Oryctolagus cuniculus: one gene and its partner. The protein of the gene in region 1 purifies or fractionates together with the protein of each later gene. This does not show direct contact. Links are inferred from orthologs where the notes say so. Each region holds a gene or a part of one and is shown in the gene's direction. Other genes may lie near its edges. The genes, in order: TJP1 and OCLN.

Region 1 (7,550 bases):
CTCGCCAGGCCCATTCTGCTGCACCTAATCTCTCAGCCTCCTAAATCCAGCTAAACTGTCAAGCCAGCCTCGGGGCAGAAGCCCTTGGAGGCAGAACCAAGGCCCAGGGAGGCCATTGGCAGTCTGCTTCCCCCGAGGAGACGGTTGTGTCCATTGGCTGCCCTCCTCTCTGGGTGTGCATGAGGTTCAGGCCAGGGGCTGCATGGTGCTGCTGCCCCAGGCCGTGGACTCTGCTGCCGCGTGCCTGCGCCGCAGGAGGCCGTCTCGCCGGAGTGAAGCTTCAGTTAACCTTCACATACTTTGTTGTTGATCCGTGTGTCATCTTACATTTAAGTCCTGGCTCAGAACGTGACTTCGGTAAGTCCCGATAGCCTCCATTTTTAAAGCAGATTCCTTTGCCCTTGGTGTTCTCTTGTCCGAGGTAAGCTAGTGTCTGTTTTGTGGGTGTATGCGATGTATTCATACCAAAGTCTCACCTCGTAGAACCTTGGAGGCCATGCTTTTCACAACAGGGGTGTTTGTCAGTCAGGGAGTGTGGAGGAAGGAGCCGTAATGTGCCCGCGTAGAATCCCAGCAGATTTTAAGGTGCTTTCCATTGTAAGATGCACGGTTATTTTATGTATCGTTAGAAAGGGAAAAGAATGCTACCAATTAAAATGCGGCTTACCCTCAGCTATAAAACACCAATTTCATGGATGTTAAAATGTGTTGCTTGGGGTGGACATTGTGACGCCGTGGGTTAAGCTGCATAGTGGCACAGCCCCATCCCATGTTGGAGTGCCAGTTCAAGTCCCAGCTACTGCACTTTGGATCCATTTTGCTGCTGATGTTTCTGGAAAGGCAGCAGAGGATGGCCCAGGTCCCTGGATCCCTGCCACCCATGTGGGAGATCCAGATAGAGTTCCTGGCTTTGCCCTGGCCGAGCCTTGGCTGCTGTGGACATTTGCAGAGTGAACCAGTGGGTGGTGGGTCTCCCTGCCTCTTCCTCTTTCTGTCACTCTGCCTTTCAAGTAAATATTTTTTTTTAAATGTTATTAGTAGTTGGGTGAACACAGTGTCAAATTTTTACATTTAGATTGCAAAATCAGTAATGAATGTGACTTGTCTAGTTACCTTCAAAAATACAGTGGATAAGAATACATTCTTATAGTTATGTAAACACAGGTATCTATAACTGAGGGAAATCATCACTAATTGCTTATTAATGTAAGAAGCATACTGGTTATATAGAGGAACAAAGGGAAGCCACCTCCTGCAGTGGTCCTAACAGAAACTGCCTGCATGGCGTTGGGAGTGTACTCATTAGCCGTTTCTCACTCTCAGCCCATCCGCTGTGGAAGAAGATGAAGACGAGGATGGGCACACTGTGGTGGCCACAGCCCGAGGCATATTTAACAGCAATGGTGGGGTTTTGAGCTCCATAGAGACCGGCGTCAGTATAATTATCCCGCAAGGAGCCATTCCCGAAGGAATTGAGCAGGAAATCTATTTCAAGGTCTGCCGGGACAACAGCATCCTCCCACCTTTGGATAAAGAGAAAGGTAGATGCTGCTTTTGTTGATTCTTATTAATGTAAAGGGAATAGATCTCATGTATCTCATAGGTACAGTTCTAAGAAGATAACCATCCTCCCTCCCTCCCTCCCTCCCTCCCTCCCTCCCTCCCTCCTTCCTTCCTTCCTTCCTTCCTTCCTTCCTTCCTTCCTTCCTTCCTTCCTTCCTTCCTTCCTTCGTTTTTTGTCTTTAATTTTTGCAAAAACATGCTTTCAATCAGCTCTGTAATCACAGGCTTAATTCACCACCAACCATGATATTCAAGGAGTGAAAATTAGGAGGACTGTAGTTCCACAGGAGTATAAACGAGGGCTAAAAACAAGAGTCTTATCACAAGATGTCTGTTTCATTCCTTTACTTTTTTTAATATTTTATACTAACTGCCACATATCAGAAAACATGATCAATTTGACTTTTGGGGACTGGCTTATGCATAGTGGTTTCCAGTTGCATAAATGTTTCTGTTTCTGCTTAGTTTTAATAATGTAAGAATTGCCTTCTGTGCACTTGAGAACTTACGGTGCTCAACGAAGGGAGACCACAGCAGCCTCTCTTCTGCCTGCACGTCGGGCCAGCCAGAGCCTGTGCCGTCCATCCGTGCGGGCACACAGTACGTGCTCACAGAGAGTAGCACCATGGGGACCTTCCGCAGGATACTGTGCTTTCAGTATGAAAGCAGAGGTGCTGGCAGGTGATAGCCCATCCGGCATCCCTCACACATGACTGCCAGGCAGTCTTGGCTGTATCAGGTCACACCCTCCATATGTGTGGATGGGTTAGGTGACACCCACTCTGCCTGCTGGCTGACTGTACACGTAGAAGGTAAGCCTCTGGGGCAGGTGCTGTCTTCCTCATCACTCCTGAGCCTCACGCTAGTGAACGCTCTGCTGAGTGAATGAAACATCCTGAGGGTGGGACTGCATGTTTCTGTGCTGCCGAAGCAGCACGGGAATGCTGTCAGTTTCCTGCCTTCCCTGGCCTGTCAGGCTGCTGCTGCCTTGCTGAACTGCTGAAGAGCTTCTTCACATCTCTCAGTCTCTCAGCAGTGTTTCACTACGTTGCATTAGCTCTCTTTCCTAACATCTGATTCTATGATCGCATTCTAGGGTAATTTGTTTAAAAAAAAAAAAAAACAATAGGACTGACTGTGTTATCCTTGTATGAACCCCTTAAACCATGTTTGTAGCAAAATGTTAAAATGTGTGTTTAGCCTAGTAGTCAAGACATTGGTTAAGGTGCCTGCGTCCCACATCAGAGCACCAGGGTTCACTTCCCAGCTCTGACTCCTGGTTCAGCTGAGGAGACGCTGGGAGACAGCAGTGAGGGCCCAGCAGTGGAGGACCCACCACTCATACATGTGGGAGATCTGGATTAGTTCTTGGCTCTTGGCTTTGGCCTTGGCCCAGCCCTGGTCATTGTGACATTTGAAGAGTAAACCAGCAAGTGAGAACACTCTTTCTTGCTCTCACCCTTCCTGTAAAATAGAAAAGTAGTTAAAATGGAAGGTACAAGTAGTAACGTTTGTGAAAAGTGCACATCAGTGTTTTCTGCTACAGACTCATAGGACTCATATGACTGCATGCGTTAGCTTGTGGCTATTTAGCACTGTTTTGAATTAAAATCTGCTAGAAATGTAAATATACACTGATTTCAAAGCTAGTATTGATTAAAAGTTGAAATAATAGTGTTGGTTATACTGAGTTGAGCAAATACTAAAATTGATGACACTTGTCTCTTTTTACTTTGTTGTGGCTCCTGGAAAAATTTTAATTATATTCATGATTTCTATTACAATTTCCTTGGTCAGAAGTGCTGTAGAGAACTAACCCTACTTGGTTTCAAAGTGTGTAATTTGGAGGGGGTGGGAAGAACCGAGTGTGGAAGGAAGACTGGCATCTAACCTGTGCACTCTCCTCTTCCCTCACTCCAGGTGAAACCTTGCTAAGCCCCTTAGTGATGTGCGGGCCCCATGGCCTCAAGTTCCTGAAGCCCGTGGAGCTGCGCTTGCCACACTGTGCGTCCATGACTCCTGACGGTTGGTCTTTTGCTCTAAAATCATCCGACTCCTCGTCGGGTATGCTGTCTTCACTCTGTCCTTTGGGGCTTTGGATACTGTCGTTGATTAATCCTAGGCTGGTGATGTTGCCTGTGCTGTTTGTTAGCGAATCTCCACCTCTGTTCCTGTGGCCTTGTAGGCATCACTGGTTGATTTATGGTACATGTGCTGTCAACAGGTCTGCAAAGGCAGAGTAAAGTGTCTGCCTTTTGAAGAAATAATTTGGTTGAAAGTTGACTATTCCGTGGTGGTCACCAAAATGATTTGTTCTGTGAGAGGTTTCAGGACACAGTGGGAGAGCTGTGAACTGTGCTATGTATGCAGTCGTTTTATGTAGTTAATTCTAGTTCTGGTTACCATTCTTTAATTTCCTAATCTGCAAAGTATATATACCAGAAAAACTCCAATGACAAAAGATCTTCCATTGGGATCAGACTTGGCCATAATTTTTCAATGTAAAACTCTACATTAAACTTCTACTATATGTCATTTTAAAATTACTTCTTGCTCTTAAGATCATAATATCAGTGCTTCCATTGCATTTTGATATTTCTTGTTTCCTTCAGTAACTTATGTCAGTTACCCATTGGAACTTTATTTTTGGTACAGAAAACTTTATGAGAACCAGATAGAAAAATAAGAATTTAAAATTCTGCTTCTAAATTTTTGGTGAATCAGTTGGGCATTGTTGAGTGCGTTGCTTGGTTTTAGTTTGGTACAATATGAAGTAAAAGGTTATGGTCTAAAGTTTGTAGTAGAGGTATTTTATTGTTATCCAACAGAAAAAAATGATATATATATATATATAAACATAAATTTTCTCAGGGACTCCCCAGAGAAATATTCTTTAGTGTAGGTTCAGTTAGTGGAGGAATATTAATAAAACTGCATTTAAAGGTTATATTCCAGAAGTCAAAAGTCAGGCTCTGACTGCCCTCCACACCAGATGAGGGCAGATATCTTGAACAACCACCTTGGTAGTTAGCCTGCTTTGTCAGTGGTCCTATCTGAAGTATAAGTGATTTGCACATTTGCTACTTCCATTGTTTTATGCCATAACATAAAATGTTTTGGTTAGATTTTTTTTGTTAAATTCGAGTATATTCACCCAGAAAATAAGTGTTATTGATGTAATACTGTGTGACTATAGATTGCATTGCTACTATAAATTTCTGTTCAAAAAGTCAGTGTAGATTTTGATGACTCCAACAAAAACTAGTCTCTTGTGAAGAAACTGGAGCCTAAAGATGAGATACCTATTTTATTTCCTTTAAAAGTGGTGCCATTAAGTGTATCTCATTGCCTGAACAGTTTGTTCTCTATGGTGTAACATAGCCTTTATATTCGTATATCGAAGAAATTGAATCACTTTTTAACTGTTCATCCCATCATTTTTAACTGTTCATCCCATCATGAAATGCTATTGACTTCAGATAATACTTAGGCAGTAAGTATGTAGCTGGCTGATGTAGGCAAGAGTGCACCAAGTGGCACTGTTGACATTGTGGCCAAATAATCTTTTGTTGTAGGGACTGTCTTTTGTATTTGGGATGTTTAGCTGTTTCCCTGGCCTCTACCCACTAGGTGCAAGTTGTAACCAAAAAAAAAAAAAAAAAAATCCCTAGATATGGCTCCTTGGGGACAGAATCACTCCTAGCTGAGACTACTGCTGCAGAGGAACCGAAGGTCAACAGTTCTGACTGTCCATGCACCTAGATCCCAAAGAGACATTTAGTCATCCCAGCACTCTCTCATTTAGTACCCACTCCCGGGGGTGCTTAGCTCTGGTTACAAATGTGAAATCCCCAGGAGCTTGTTCAGCACTCACATGCCCCAGACCTGCCCCAGACCTGCCTCGGACCTGCATGGGCAGTTCTGGAAGCTCTGTGAATGGTTTTGAACCAGAGTCACAGCTGAGCTACTACGGCACAGTTTTCCTGGTCGGCTTGTTTGGGGTTTTCCCTTTGGCTTTCCTGTTTGTCCTGTTTTTTTAAGGAGTAAGAAGGTCTTTAGGAACGAGATTCTGTGGAACTTTCAGGGTTGGTTTGTTGGTCTGTAGCTGAGTGTGAGTGATGTGCTCATGTACTCAGCTCAAATGGGTGATCGGTTGTTATGTGAAAGTGGAAGAAAGATGTTGTTCATCATTGGAACTTAGGGACAAGCTGAGACTACCTCAGGCACATGGTTGTCCTTTAACTCATTTTTGAGAAGACTGTTGAACGTTTTGAATCACAGATGCCAGCAAATCTGCATTGAAGGGCAGCACCGAGAGTTTTGCTGTAAGTACAGTGTGTTGAAGTGACAAGGGAAAAGCGTATTTAAATACGTATCTACTTGCATTTTGTCCCTTAGTTGCAAGCATCATGCATAGCAATTTAGGCAACTAAATGACGTCAGCTTCTTTTTCTCTCCTAGGTGATCCTAAAACCTGGCAAAACAAGTGTCTTCCTGGAGATCCAAATTACCTTGTGGGAGCAAACTGTGTGTCTGTCTTGATTGACCACTTTTAATTCTGAAGCTACAGGAACTTGATTAAATAATGTGAAGCTGGGTTAAATTTACCAAGTCTAAAATGGAACCACTCTATCAAGTATTCTATTTTTCTTAGAATTGATACTACAGTTTGTTCATATTAAACATTTGTTTGGACTGGTCAAGACTGTGCGCATGCCCCTGAACCATGAGCAGAACACATGCCGCAAACTGCATGTCTGCCACTGAAGAACTCTTGCTATTGGCTGGAGGTTCAAAGATACTTTGCTCTGTAATGATTTTGTACTTGTTTTTATGGTCACTGCTTCACTTCACATACTGATTTCCGTTAAAATACCAGCCACTAATGGGGGTGCATTTAGTTCTGTTATTTCCAAAGTACATTGTTTCAAACTTTATTATGGCTCTGGCCTAACACACATATTTTATTTTATTATGCATGAAGTAATATGCACTTGTTTTTTAAACGCACCTGGAATATATAACCAGTATAGTGGATTTAACAGAAGTGTACAGCAAGGGGAATTTGTGACTTTGGGTGGGGAGGGTTTCAGGTGAAGACAATTACACACCTCTCTTAGGGAAGGACACCAAAGCATGTGAGACTGGCTCCGTGGCCTCTTTGGATCTAGAGATTCACCATATCACCACCGATGTACTGACCAGCAGGAATGCCTTACCCTCATGTTTTTAATTCTTAGATCAGTTTCGCTGTGTATTACTAAGTTCTTATGGCTTTTGTGCACATCTAGATACTGTATCATGAACAAGATTGGATCAATGTGGAGTTGGTGGTTTCAGAAATGTATAAATCACCCAGAAGAAAATAATGGTGTGATTTAGGGAATTTTCCTTTTTTTTTTTTTTTTTTTTTTTTTTTTTTTTTTTTTTTTTTTTTTGCCAGGGGGCAGTGGTTGTTTTCTTTTGGGCTTGCATTTGAACACTTTGATGTTTTAAGGATGCTTGTACATAATGCGTGCATACCACTTTTGTTCTTGGTTTGTAAATTAACTTTTATAAACTTTACCTTTTTTATACATAAACAAGAGCAGGTTTCTAAAGGCTACCTTTATATTCTCTCCTGTACCTCTCGAGCCTTGAACTTCGACCTCTGCAGCAATAAAGCAGCATTTCTATGACACACACAAGGTCATTTTTTAAAGAAAAAGAATGCACAGAGTTGTTACATTTTTAAGTGCTGCATTTAAAAGACAGTTATTCAGAGTTCTCTAGTTTGATTAAATTCTTGCAAAGTATCCTTATTGTAATTTGTGATACAATGCTGTGCCCTAAAGTGTATTTTTTTACTAATAGACAATTTATTATGGCACATCAGCACGACTTCTGTTCAGATAATACACCACTACTTTCTGTTAATCATTAGGTGTGACTGAATTTCTTTTGCAGTTATTAAAAATCTCAAATTTCTAAATACGCGGAATAAACTT
Region 2 (7,787 bases), on another chromosome or scaffold:
CATGTTGGATGCTGGCATCTCAGGCAGCGGCTTAACCTGCTGTGCCAGGCTGCTGACCCCGGCTGTTTTCAGTTTTGTGAAACTGTATTTCTGTTACTCAGGAGCAGTTTGTACTTGGCCACAGTTCTTGATTTTTTATTCCTGTGTCAGGCTTTGCTTGTAGCAGAAGCATAATTTGCAACTTAAAAATCTGGTACACTAGAAAAATAGTAAGTGCAAGGGTAACCCTTCCGTTCATTTTGCATGGCTTCAGGATTAACATAGTTTTTTTTTTTTTTTTTTTTTTTTTTTGACAGGCAGAGTGGACAGTGAGAGAGAGAGAGACAGAGAGAAAGGTCTTCCTTTTGCCGTTGGTTCACCCTCCAATGGCCGCCATGGCTGGCGTGCTGCGGCCGGCGCACCGCGCTGATCCGATGGCAGGAGCCAGGAGCCAGGTGCTTTTCCTGGTCTCCCATGGGGTGCAGGGCCCAAGCACCTGGGCCATCCTCCACTGCACTCCCTGGCCACAGCAGAGGGCTGGCCTGGAAGAGGGGCAACCGGGACAGAATCCGGCTCCCCGACCGGGACTAGAACCCGGTGTGCCGGCGCCGCTAGGCGGAGGATTAGCCTAGTGAGCCGTGGTGCCAGCCAACATAGCAATTTTTAAAAGAAACATTCATAATTGTTCGTTCATTACAATGTAAGAGCTTTTTGGCATTTTCATTTCAATACTTAGTTTTTCAAAATCTTATCTTCAAAGGTGAATTGATGTGGGTAGTGTACAATTAATAGTATGAGGAGATAAGCTCCCACAGTCAGTGTTGGGTGGGACTGGAAGAACCTGTGGAGAAGAATCGCGATCCTTATCTTCCCGACAGCCTTTTGTGGAGGAGTCCCCAACCCGTCAGGTCAGCAGCTCCTGCAGATCAGCCTCAACTTCCTAAAATGGAATCTGGCATCCGTTCTTCTTGGAAGCTTTCATAGAAGCTCCTTTTAAATCGGAGCCCGATGGATCCATTCCTCAGGTGTCCTGGAGGATTCCGCACACAGGAAGCGAGGTGTCACCCCCTGGAGTGCACGCACCTGCCTGGAGCCGTCTCCTGGTGCCATCTGCAGCTGCAGGGCACTGGCAGGGGACATGGGGTGCCCCGAGCTCACTGAGCCAAGACTCCCCTGCTTTTCTTAGGGTACCCGAGGTGGTTCATGAGCTTCCGCTGACGTCATCCATGGACGACTTCAGGCAGCCTCGTTTGAGCAGCAGCAGTAACTTTGAGACACCTTCCAAAAGGCCTCCCGCCAAGGGAAGAGCAGGCAGGCCCAGGAGATCAGAGCAAGACCACTACGAGACGGACTACACGACCGGCGGCGAGTCGTGCGACGAGCTGGAGGAGGACTGGATCAGGTACGGGGCGGCCGCCCCCGACGTGGCGTCCCCTGAAGCTGGGGGCACGGCCCATTCCCTTCTTTTTTTTCTTTGCCCTATGGAACTGGAGACTTTATTTCCCCCCAGATGTTTTATTGTTGTTTTTCACCTAGTGTGCTTTTGTAATAGATTGAAGTGGCAGGGATGTGTTTGGCTGTGCCCATGTCTTCAGTCTCAGCTGCTCCCCAAAAACAGCTCATGGACATCCCCGGCACTTCTGTCTTCACCACCGCTCACCCCAAGAAGCTCCTAAAACAGAGGAGCTTCGTTTTGCTGGGTATAAAATTCCCAGCTTCCCTCTGGCCATGACTTTTAAGTTAAGCTTTGGTGACAAGACCAGAGTTTCTTTTAAGATTTCATCTAAGGAATCCTAAGAAACATTTCTTTAAACAACTGAAGTAGCGGTTCCTTCACTTCCTCTCTGTCAGGGGTTTGCCACCATCAGTGCACTCTGAGGCCGGCGACACAGCGCTGGAGGGAGACTCAGGCTGTTTCTCAAGGCCGTGGGGAGGGTCAGGGGTGGGGGCTGTGGGGAGGGTTGGGGGTGGGGGCCGTGGGGAGGGTCGGGGGTGGGGGGCGTGGGGGACTTGAGATGCTGTGGGGGCTGATGCTTCTGGGCCCACATCTCTCCTTGCCCCCTGCCGTCTTGGGCTGACACAGCCATCAGGTCTAAAATATTTGCCCAGGTTGTATCCAGCAAATGTAACCGAAAAGTCTCCGGAATGTTGAGTTCTTGTTTCTCTCTTAATCAGATCATTTGCGTTCTCTCCCCTGTAAAGGGAGATACTGGACTGTTAGACCCAGCGTTAGAAAGGCACCGCTTCTGTGTGTGACTCACACAGTCACACACACACAGCAGGTGCGGTAGCAGGAGCAGCGTCCTCTGCACAGGAGGGGCCGCTCGGACGCGGTTTTCTCGTTCATGGAAAACTTAGGCAGCAGCCGTGAGTGGATTTCTCAGTATTTCCACACCAAGTAAACTTTGAAATTCCTTCGTCTCCTGAACCGCTGCAAGTCCTCTCAGAGGCTGATAGAAGTGAGAGAGTGTTTTCCTTTATGCGCCTGTGAATTACCAGATGCTTTTTACAGCAAGCACACGTTTTTATATATGTACATTTTTAAGGTCTACTTTTTTTTAAAAAATTTTTTTTGACAGGCAGAGTTAGACCGTGAGAGAGTTATAGACCATGACAGAGAGACAGAGAGAAAGAAAGGTCTTCCTTCCGTTGGTTCACTCCCTAATGGCCGCCACGGCCAGCGCTGTGCCAATCCGAAGCCAGGAGCCAGGTGCTTCTCCTGGTCTCCCATGGGGTGCAGGGCCCAAGCACTTGGGCCATCCTCCACTGCACTCCCGGGCCACAGCAGAGAGCTGGCCTGGAAGAGGGGCAACTGGGACAGAATATGGCGCCCCGACCGGGACTAGAACCCGGTGTGTCAGCGCCGCAGGCGGAGGATTAGCCAAGTGAGCCATGGTGCCGGCCAAAATCTACTTTTATAATGAAAGGACCAAACAAACTTTTTCCAATTAGGAAAAACAACACCTAAAATTAAACAGCCTGAAAACGGCCTGTGATGGCGGGAAGCAGCCCTCGCGGGCGGCTGTGCTGCCAGGTGACGGTCCACACAGGCTTTGGGTTCCACAGTTCCAGCTCAGGGACTTGAAACCCAAGTATCCCATTAGCGTGTGGTATTGTGGACGGAGAATAAGAGTGCCTGTGTCTTTAGCCTTGAATCCTTTTTTTAAATTTTTTTTAATTTTTATTTATTTTTAATTTTTTGACAGGCAGAGTGGACAGTGAGAGAGAGGGACAGAGAGAAAGGTCTTCCTTTGCCGTTGGTTCACCCTCCAATGGCCGCTGTGGCTGGCGCACGGCACTGATCCGAAGCCAGGAGCCAGGTGCTTCTCCTGGTCTCCCATGGGGTGCAGGGCCCAAGCACTTGGGCCATCCTCCACTGCCTTCGCGGGCCACAGCAGAGAGCTGGCCTGGAAGAGGGGCAACCGGGACAGAATCCGGTGCCTTGACCGGGACTAGAACCCGGTGTGCCGGCACCGCAAGGCAGAGGATTAACCTAGTGAGCCGTGGCGCCGGCCTACCTTGAATCCTAAAAATTATGTAGGGGTGAGCAGTAATACATAAAATGAGACTGTGAGTATAAATTAGTTGTATCCCACCTCCACCTCTCTGTTAGAACTGAAAGGAAAAGAAAAGAATGTCATTTCCCTCTGCCGCCAGCTTTCTTACCTTAGAGCAAGCAGTGCGGGGTCTTCGTCTGCCAGGGAGCTTCGTCTGTCTTTGCATGTGGTCATTTCCCCTCTCGTCTCTTAGGGAGTATCCGCCCATCACATCAGATCAGCAAAGACAACTCTACAAGCGGAATTTTGACACTGGCCTGCAGGAATACAAGAGCTTGCAAGCAGAGCTCGACGAGGTCAATAAAGAGCTTTCCCGTCTCGATAAGGAACTGGATGACTACAGAGAAGAAAGTGAAGAGTACATGGTAAATTCAGGCTCCGCACTTGCCTGGTAGATGTGGTAGACTTTGTACTATTGCTCACACGTATTTGCTTGAAATATGGATTGAAATTCAGGCTTCGATGATAGTCTTTTTTTTTTTTTTTTTAAGATTTATTTAATTATTTGAAAGTCAGAGTTACGCAGAGAGAGAGAGAAGAAGGGAGGGAGGGAGGAGAGAGAGGGAGAGGTGTCTTCCATCCTCTGGTTCACTCCCCAGCTGGCTGCCATGGCCAGAGCTGTGCTGATCCAAAGCCAGGAGCCAGGAGCTTCTTCCAGGTCTCCCACACAGGTGCAGGGACCCAAGGACCTGGGCCACCCTCTACTGCTTTCCCAGGACATAGCAGAGAGGTGGGTCAGAAGAGGAGTAGCTGGGACTTGAACCAGCACCCATATGGGATCCCAATCCTGGCGACATAAGCCACGGGTTTACCAGCTACACCACAATGCCGACCCTGTTTTTCTTTTTCAGAAAAAAATATTTTGTGGCACTGCTTTTTTCCTGATCTTTCCCTCAGCAGTGGTTTATGGTAATCATTTCGTATCAAAATAAAGATTGACTTTCAAATCGTTTTACATGTAGGAGCAGGTGTTTGGCCTGGAGACGCTGCTAGGGACATGCACGTCCCTGTTCTTGGTTCCAGCCTCTAACACAGGCCCTGGGAGGTAGTGGTGATGGCTCAATAGTTGGGTCCCAGCCACCCGTATGGGAGACCAGGATTGAGTTCCCAGACTGCCCTGACAGTTGTGGGCATTTGAAAAAGAAACCAGTGAATGGAGATCTCTCTCTTTCTGCCTGCCAAATAAATAAATAAGAATTTAAAAAAATTTATATGTAAAAATAGCTATACTATTTTGATATTTTATGGTTGTGCCATAGTTTACTTAAGTGTCATCCTCTATGAACAGATTTTTTTAAAGATTTATTTATTTGAAAGGCAGAGTTATGGAGACAGAGGGAGAGAGAAATCGAGATATCTTCCATCCACTGGTTCCCTCCCCATATGGCTACAATGGTCCAAGCTGGGCCTTCAAAACCCAGGAGCCAGGAACTTTAACTGGGTCTGTCATGTGGGTGCAAGGTCCCCGGGACTTGAGCCATCCTCCGCTGCTTTCCCAGGCACATTAGCAGGGAGCTGGATTGGAAGTGGAGCAGCCGGGAATTGAACTTGGATTCTTTTTTTTTTTTTTTTTCAATATTTATTTATTTATTTGAAAGGCAGAGTTACAGAAAGGCTGAGGCGGAAGCAGAGAGAAGTCTTCCATCCACTGATTCACTCCCCAAATGGCTGCAACGGCAAGAGCTGAGCTGATCTGAAGCCAAGAGCCAGGAGCTTCTTCCAGGTCTCCCACGCAGGTGCAGGGGCCCAGGCACACTTGGGCCATCTTCCACTGCTTTCCCAGGCCATTAGCAGAGAGCTGGATCAGAAGTGGAGCAGTCAGGACTCTACCTGCGCCCATATGGGATGCTGGCACTGCAGGCAGCAGCTTTACCCACTACGCTACAGCACCAGCCCCTCGAACTTGGATTCTAAGAGAGAATCTGACATGTGAGCAACTTAGCATGATCAATGCTACAGTCACATTACATGTGAAAACCCCTGTAACTAACTACCCAGAGAAACAATAAAGTCTGCCGAAGGGGCCGGTGCTATGGCACAGCGGGTTAAAGCCCTGGCCTGAAGCACCGGCATCCCATATGGGCTTCAGTTCTAGTCCTGGCTGCTCCTCTTCTGATCCAGCTCTCTGCTACGGCCTGGGAAAACACTAGATGGCCCAATTCCTTGGGCCCCTCCCACCGTGGGAGACCGGGAAGATGCTCCTGGCTCCTGGCTTCGGATCGGCACAGCTCCGGCTGTTGTGGCCATCCGGGAAGTGAACCAACGGATGGAAGACCTCTCTCTTTGTGTCTCTACCTCTCTCTGTAACTCTGTATTTCAAATAAATAAAATAAAATCTAAAAAAAAAAAATTGGGAATTAAAAAATAAATAAATAAAGTCTGCCGAAGGCCTGCAGAGTTGAGGGGAGGGTTCAGTCAGACGTGGCTGTCAGGAGTTCTCTGGGGGCAGGTGTTTGGCACGGCAGTTATGGTGCTGCTTGGGAAGCCCACGTCCATATCAGAGTGCCTGGGCTTGAGTCCTGGCTCTGTTTTCCCTTCCAGCTTCCTGCCAGTGCCCACTCTGGGAGGCAGCAGGTGCTGGCCCAAGTAGGTGGGTCTCTATCCCTCCATGAGAGCTCTGGATGGAATTCCTGGCCCCTGGCTTAGGCCTGATGCAGCCCCAGCCATCGCAGGCCTTTTGGGGAGTGAACTAGCAGACAGAAAGAGTTGTCTCTGTCTCATGTTTCTTGTCTTTGAAATAAATAAATAAAAATTAAAATAAAAAGAATTACTCAAGCTGAAAGCTGGGAGAAGATGCAGAATTTCAGCTAAAAAGAAAACTGGGTAGAAATCGTGACCCCTTGCTTCACCGGGTTTTCTAAGGGAACGACTAGTGGTGGGCACTGAGCCCAGGCAGGGAGGAAGCTGGGTGAGCACGGAAGTTAGTGGGGTGCCCAGGCCAGTTTCCTCATGAGCTGAAACTGAAGCAGAGCTGTGCCTGACAGAAGACCACTGTGGTAGGGGTTGGCACTGTGGCAGAGCAGGTAAAGCTGCGTTCTGCAGTGCTGTCATCCCATGTGGGTGCCAGTTTGAGTCCCGGCTGCTCCACTTCTGATCCAGCTCTCTGCTATAGGCTAGGAAAGCAGTAGAAGATGGCCCAAGTGCCTGGTTCCCTGCAGTTGCTTGGGAGACCTGGAAGAAGCTCCTGGGTCCTGGCTCCAGATTGGCACAGCTCTGGCCATTGCAACCATCTGGGGAGTGATCCAGCAGATAGAAGTCTGTCTGTCTGTCTGTCTCTCTCTCTCTGCCTCTCTGTAACTCTGCCTTTCAAATAAAATAAGTAAATTTTTTTTTTAAAAAAGGACTTCATGATTTTTTATAAAGATTTATTTATTTATATGAAAGGTTACAGAGAAGCAAATTCAGAAAGAAAAAAGTCTGCCAGCGCTGCGGCTCACTAGGCTAATCCTACGCCTTGCGGCGCCGGCACACCAGGTTCTAGTCCTGGTCGGGCGCCCGATTCTGTCCAGGTTGTCCCTCTTCCAGGCCAGCTCTCTGCTGTGGCCCAGGAGTGCAGTGGAGGATGGCCCAAGTACTTGGGCCCTGCACCCCATGGGAGACCAGGAGAAGCACCTGCCTGGCTCCTGCCATCGGATCAGCACAGCGCGTCGGCCGCAGTGGCCATTGGAGGGTGAACCAACGGCAAAGTAAGACCTTTCTCTCTATCTCTCTCTCTCACTGTCCACTCTGCCTGTCAAAAAAATAAATAAAAATAAAAATAAATTAAAAAAAAGAAAGAAAGAAAAAAGTCTTCCGTGCGTTGGTTCACTCCCCAAATGGCTGCCAGAGCGGGAGCTGGGCCGTTCTGAAGCCAGGAGCCAGGAGCTTCTTCCGGTCTCCCACGCGGGTGCAGGGCCCGAGCACTTGGGCCATCTTCTACTGCCTTCCCAGGCCACAGCAGAGAGCTGGCCTGGCAGTGGAGCAGCCGGGACTCGAGCCTGCACCCACGTGGGATGCTGGGGCTGCCGGCAGGGCTTTACCTGCTGTGTCACAGCGCTGGCTTCGTGATTTTCATTCTCTTTGTTTTTGCCACAAACTCCATTTTTAGCTCTAAAAGATAACTCCCGGAATGTGATTCTTGAAGGAGAAAATGCCTTACTGAATGTGTTCGTTTGTGTTTCTCGTTAATAGGCGGCTGCTGACGAGTACAACCGACTGAAGCAGGTGAAAGGCGTAAGTGCCCTGGGGGCGGAGATTCTGAGGGGCACCTGG

Evidence for each region.
Region 2: the proteins of TJP1 (region 1) and OCLN purify together in Homo sapiens (affinity purification with western blotting; 4 studies listed by BioGRID and IntAct, with this or other methods). This does not show direct contact. The link is inferred for Oryctolagus cuniculus from reciprocal best matches to the Homo sapiens genes TJP1 and OCLN.

The regions. Positions count from the first base shown.
Region 1 is NC_091443.1:11,173,003-11,180,552, forward strand, and holds part of TJP1 (tight junction protein ZO-1), read left to right. Parts: intron 1-1,323; coding exon 1,324-1,541; intron 1,542-3,483; coding exon 3,484-3,627; intron 3,628-6,024; coding exon 6,025-6,119; 3' UTR 6,120-7,550. UniProt on the Homo sapiens protein: TJP1, TJP2, and TJP3 are closely related scaffolding proteins that link tight junction (TJ) transmembrane proteins such as claudins, junctional adhesion molecules, and occludin to the actin cytoskeleton.
Region 2 is NC_091445.1:90,487,247-90,495,033, forward strand, and holds part of OCLN (occludin), read left to right. Parts: intron 1-1,165; coding exon 1,166-1,381; intron 1,382-3,729; coding exon 3,730-3,901; intron 3,902-7,706; coding exon 7,707-7,748; intron 7,749-7,787. UniProt on the Homo sapiens protein: May play a role in the formation and regulation of the tight junction (TJ) paracellular permeability barrier.